Linked DNA regions of Arabidopsis thaliana. The protein of the gene in region 2 interacts with the protein of the main gene of each other region in a pairwise test. Each region holds a gene or a part of one and is shown on either strand. Other genes may lie near its edges.

Region 1 (3,322 bases), about 14 Mb from region 2:
CATATTGAAATTTTTAAATTTGGATGCTTGTTGAGTTAAGGTCCCTAGTCATTCGGATTTGGATTCATTTTGATTTTATTTACAGTGTGATTATGAATTATTTTCTAAATATTTTAGCTAATGTGTGATGTTAAACATATACTTTTTCAATAATTGGATAATATATGTTCGTTTTCAAAATTTGAATCAAAATATATGAAAAAAAATTGTTTACTTTATGTATTATACGATTATCCAAAAAAATTAAAAAAAATTAAATAAAGATGAAAAGAGAATCATAGATTTAAATTATTACCAAATATTCTAACTATATGTATTATTTAATATAGAAACATAATTAGTAGATATGATCTAATTTTGGTAATATTTGTATCCAACTTTAGATAAAAAAAACAATAGAAGAGTCGGGTCAAATATAATCCGATCCACCCAAACTTTTATGAATAATATTTTTATTAAATTGGGTATCATATGTATCCGAAAATAGTTTAACCCATCCGTAAAAATTATACTTAAAAAAATACTATAGAGATAAGTAGAAAACAATAAAACGGAATGTGACAACTAAGAAAGGATAAATAAATGAAAAATGTTGAAATAATAATAAAAAATGTTAGACATTTATCTGAAGAGGAGAATTAATACAGTTTAACATTTGTATATACAATCAAATCAAATTGATTCGATTTCGTATAATTGCGATCAATCACTCTTATATTTCCTATTCGACCCCTCTACCAATTACAATATTCATAAAAAAAATATGAAATCAAATGTTTTCTAAAAGAAAAATAAAAGTCAGGGAAGAAGATCGTCGCCGAAGAGGTAAAGAAGTCGTTCAACAGCCCAACTAGTTTGAGTAACGGTTGAGTAATCAGTGAAAGATGGAAGCAACGGCGTTCGACATAGGGGACAAGTACGGTGGTTATCATCATCACCGCCGCAACATTCATAATCTAGCCATCGGTCAATACAATCACGATGAAACACGTGAGTACAGTTCCTAAGCTCTCTGATTTCGTCCTCGTCTTCAAGATCTCCTAGACACACGGCACACATGTCGTTTATCGCCGCGGGAGATCTCTCCACCGCGTCGCGGAAAGCGGACACGGCTAGGCTTTCTTTGATGGTTTGTGATGAAATAGAAGGAGAAGAGGAGGATTGAGATGATGATGATGAGGAGGATCTTGAGCGGTAACGGAGGATCCATGCAAAGATCCATCGTAAAACGGTGATGATAAGTGCCGTTTTGTAGAGAACGTGGCTGATGATGAGACTAGTGTCTTCGATGAAGAATGTCATTGTGAAAACTTGGAGTAGAGAAAGAGAGGAGAAGAAGAGGGAGGACTAGAAGTTAGAGTCATGCGTCTTTATAAAGACAACTTAAAGGTGGTGATGGTTTGGTTTTTCATTGGTGTAAGTGGCTTTTTATTTTATTTATTTTAACTATTTTTATTATTATTTTTGCAAAAGTATTTATTTATTTACAATTGTTTTTTTCATTACAACTTTCGGTGTCAAATTTTCTGTTATGCTTATCTGTATCCACATATTTTAATCTATATAATAAATTATGAGTCTGCATTGAGGATATATTTTTTTTTATTCAGCTGTTGATGTTGGAAAACTTAATCAGTCAAATTTAATGTGCTATTAAGCTATTTTATTCATACAGTACAATTGAAAATTCAATGCATGAACTGTTAGTTAGTTGAAATTGAGTAAAAGGAGAAGATTAATGTTTGGATAGAGTTCTGTTAGTTAATGTAATGAAACTTTGTAACATAATTTTATATATGATCGTGGAATATAAACCCTTGAACACATTTATAAAGTTAAATGTTACTCAGAGGATCAATCAAAAGAGTTTTGGGTGAAGAAATAAGAATCTAAAAATATCTAGGTGACGACAGTTGAGAGAAGAGACTAAAGTGAAATACAAGAGAAAGAGCAGGAGAAGGTGACGTTGGGATAGTGGCGTTCGTGTCACAGTCTGTGCTACTCTGGCTTGCAGTATTTGCTTGCATGAGAGATTGAGAGAGACGGTGAGGAATAAAAGATGATCGTAATCGTTTCTTTTTCTCTTCCTTTTACCAAACCACCTAAAAAGAGAAACATATATGAAAAGAAAAAAAAACATTTTGACGTAACAGATTTTAGTATCATTATCGTTGGTTATCTTTTAGAAGCAATTTGGTCACATTCACATAAACCTTTAAATTTGTTACTCCATTTGTGGCTTATTGCCTTAACGATTACGCCTTGTTTTCTTTACATATATATTCATGTGCTTTTTATGTTCTCTGTTAGCTTTTACGTCAGAAATATAGTTTACAAAAAAATATATATATATATTTTCACAATTCCAATATCCCATATTCTCACATAACTTTCTTTGGGTTTTTTCTTTTCTTTGGTTTTCTTTTGATTTTCATTACTTATCTATTTTAATTTAACAAAAAGAAACCGAAAGAAAAATGATTAAACAATAAAAACTTAAAAGGTGTAAATAATTTTATGATATTTCACGAATAAATTTATAGGGTCCGATGGTAACTAAAATCTGTTAGCTGTTAGCTTTTTCGAAACAATGCAAAGCTGTAAAAAAAACTATACGAGAAAATTATAAAAAAAAACTAAGAGTAAAATTTTTAGCAACGTTTTTGTGATTGGTAATTGTTAAAATTATATATTTTATAACGTTTTGTACCGTTTTGTAAAGTGATTATCAATCAAAACCGTAGTTAAGTATATTATGATATGAATGATGGTACTAGTGAATCGAGATGATATTAATGTATATCAAATATTTCGGCTTACGTCGCATCTTTTTCATTATATTAAAATAATCTTATACGTAGCACCTTCGTTGAAGTTTAAATATTAATCGTATAGCAATAGCTAATTAATAAAGAATCTCAATTGTGGTGATAGACATCAACCCATTTATAACAGTGGTTTGGCTTCTTCTGTTTCTCGGTTTTACTTTAGAAATTTACGTAAGCATCACTATTTTTTTAATGGTAAGAGTTCAATGATGTATTCAATGAAGTATTAGTTAGGATATAAAAAGAAGAATTAGAGAACGATTTAACTTTATAATGATAGTCCTTAATTATGTTCTAGGAAAAAAAAAAAAAAAAACGGAACAAATCCTTTCCACATGCACATGACACATGATGTCGTCTACGAACAAAAAGACAAGGTGGTCCCAATCTGACACATCAATTTCCTAACTATCCTACTCAGATTCCATTACTTCAACTTTCATGTCAAATGCTCAACCTCCAAATGCCATACCTTTTCTTCTTTCTTTTCTTGT
Region 2 (3,106 bases):
ATATACACTGTATATATATATGGGGTTTTTTTTATGGTCAAATGTTATTGCCCTTCGAATAAGAGACCTTTGATTCGTAAGAAGAGATTATTATTTTATAAGAGAAGGTTATGACCGAAAGGTTTCTGAAGAAAATGAAAAATTACTTTTAAAAGGAATTTTATCTTTAAAAGGAAACAAAAGGAATGGTTAAGTTTTACATGATTGGACGCAAAAATGGAAAATTCTTTTGATTACTTCAAAAAAGGAAACCCTCATTTCTTATTAATAATACATCAAATAAAAAACTAACATGATTTTTCGCAAAATATCCAATTTGTGAAGACCCTAACGCTCGAATTTGTCATCACTTGGCTCAGTCTTTCAACTTTTGAAAACTGAAACTCCTTTTTTCTCAATACTGTTAGATAATAGAGATATACTCGAGACGATTGAGCTTCGTCAAATGGATACATGCAGTATTAAAATCAGCAGTTCAAATACAAAGAAATTTAAATCATCAAGTATGAATATGTATGATCATGCTTCACGATCGAACAGACGAACACCACCAGAAACTCGACGTCCCACACGAACAGAAGATGAACCACCACAGTCTTTTCCCAATCGTAAGTGAGCCATATTGTCGCATAAGTTATCACGTAACTCGAGCATCGCTTGGTACCTTTGCTGCAGCTCCTTCGCGCTCAAACCTTCCGAAGGAAAGTTCCACCACATTTTATCTAACTTCTTTTCATTTCTCGATTCCTTCAACAGTTTCAACTTCTCTAGATCCATCGCAAGCTCCTCTTCGAGCGCCTCCATTTTTTTTACGAGGTCGTGGAGCCTTCGTTTCTTATAAGCTTCGACGAGGGGTCTGGTATCGTCTCTCTCTAATGGTTCTTGTCTCGAAGGGTTCTTTAACCGGTCAGCCACTTTCTTCATAGACGGATGTGCGAATGTATAGGGCTTCTTGGGTTGAGAGAAAATCAAGAAAGCCACTTCAACGTCACACATTGCTACGAGCTCGTTCATTTTCTTAAAAATTCCGGTTTTACGTTTTGAGAACGTAATCATCCTATCTCCATAGTTCTCCACCTTCTTCATCTCGATCTTTTGCTTCCCCTTTGTTTTTCTTCCCTTTGCTTGCTTCGTAGATGACATGTTTGCAGAAACCAGAACTAGTGTTTGATTTCTTGTAGGTTTGTTATTTTGTATGTAATGATAAAACCATGCGCAAAACACAATCTATTTATAGACCAAAGAAAGAGATAGGATTACAAAGTTTGGAGACATTAAATTTAAATCTTAGTTATGAAGAAAGTGTATTGACTAATTTACAAAAAAAAAAAAAAAATGTTGACTAAACACATTTGGCAACCACTTTAACATCTTCATTAATCAGTCAAGAAACTATTATGGTAACCCAATTGGTGTAATAGCTGGTGTAAAGGCTAATTGACCATTCAAGGAGGAATGTTCTTTTAGGTAATTACGAGTTTGTGTATCCCTTACAGGGAACATACCTCAGATCCAAAATTCTTTTGTTACAAAAAAAATAGGAAAAATTTGATATAAAAGATATCTACTACAAAATTTGTCCATAATATTCTTATTTTTTTGTAGATTAGTCATATAATTTTTTTAAAAAACTTCAAAATCCAAATTTATCTTATTTTTCTATCAAATTTCATTTAAAAAATAAAACTTTTTTGTATTAGTATAAGTCCGTTCATTTGATTAGTCATAACTTTTGCTATAATATTTTGTTTGACTTGAAATCACTATCGTTGGAAAGCTAATTGAAACTAATAGAATTGCTATAATATTCCGTTTGACTTGAAATTACTACCGTTGGAAAGCTAGTTAAAGCTAATAGAATTGAAGTCAATATATAAACATAAAAAAAAAATTTAAAAATTTAATTTTAGGTTAAAATAACTTTAATCTATTTTCTCTAAAATAACAATAACTTAAGGGATGCAATTTATACTTATAAATTTCCAAATTTATATAACATGAAACACATGAAAAATATTTCCTCTCATAGGCTACAGCTAGCTAATATAAAATAAAATCCACGCTTTTTATATGCTTAATTTAAACTCTAATTATTAACTCTAATAAAACCTAGTTTAAGTCCACGTATAATTTCAACTGATATTCAATAACTAATAATTTATATATTTGTTGCAATCTCTGTAAGACTATCGGTTAGGTTAATCATTCAAAGATATCTTCGTTTCATAAAACAAGAAAAAAACAAAAAAAAACAAATTTTCAAAAAGAAAAAAATCTATTTGAGGAGAAAAATAGCTGTGAGAGAGAAAGCTAAAGAGGCGACGTACCACCCACCTAACCACAACCAGATCCCCAAAAGACAGAGAACTTTCTCGATACGAACGCCAAAGAGAAGAAGACGAAGACGAAGATGATGGGTGTGTTGAAGTCGGCGATTGGGGATATGTTGATGACCTTCTCTTGGGTTGTCCTCTCCGCTACCTTTGGAATTCAGACGGCGGCGATTATCTCCGCCGGTGATTTTCAGGCAATCACTTGGGCTCCGTTGGTGATTTTGACGTCGTTGATTTTCGTCTACGTCTCGATCTTCACCGTTATCTTCGGTAGCGCTAGCTTCAATCCTACCGGAAGCGCTGCCTTTTATGTCGCCGGTGTCCCCGGAGATACTCTTTTCTCCTTGGCGATTAGATTACCTGCTCAGGTTTTCTAAAGATCCAAACTTTTTTCTGAATTTTTAAACTTTTTTCAGCTTACTGTTTTGGGTTTACTTGGTTTCTATCAATATTTGTGATCTGTGATAGTTTCTTTCAAATGGGTATAGGCTTGTGTTTGTCTGCGAATTAGAATCTAGTTTTGTCTGCGAATTAGAATCTAGTTTTGCATGAATCATTGAATCCAAAGCTATGTAGTATATGCTTTTCCCGTGATTTGTCCCCACTTGTATGCCCCATTTTAGATTAGTTGAGTAGAATTCGACTTTTTTGGTACATATGAGTCTGATCTTCTGTTTTTCGTATATTCTCACCTTTGATCTGTTTAGTATAGTTATACTCAGGTTTGATATTTCTTGGAAAGAAGAACACACAGAATCAGATTCTCTTTTGTT

The links.
Region 1: the proteins of AGL57 (region 2) and AT3G43430 interact in a two-hybrid assay, tested with the Arabidopsis thaliana proteins (one large-scale study listed by BioGRID).

What each region holds. Positions count from the first base shown.
Region 1 is NC_003074.8:15,353,960-15,357,281, forward strand, and holds AT3G43430 (RING/U-box superfamily protein), read right to left. Parts: upstream 1,536-3,322; 5' UTR 1,303-1,535; coding exon 799-1,302; 3' UTR 576-798; downstream 1-575.
Region 2 is NC_003074.8:1,073,336-1,076,441, reverse strand, and holds AGL57 (AGAMOUS-like 57), read right to left. Parts: upstream 1,144-3,106; coding exon 520-1,143; downstream 1-519. Other genes in the region: SIP1A (small and basic intrinsic protein 1A), read left to right, coding at 2,411-2,701.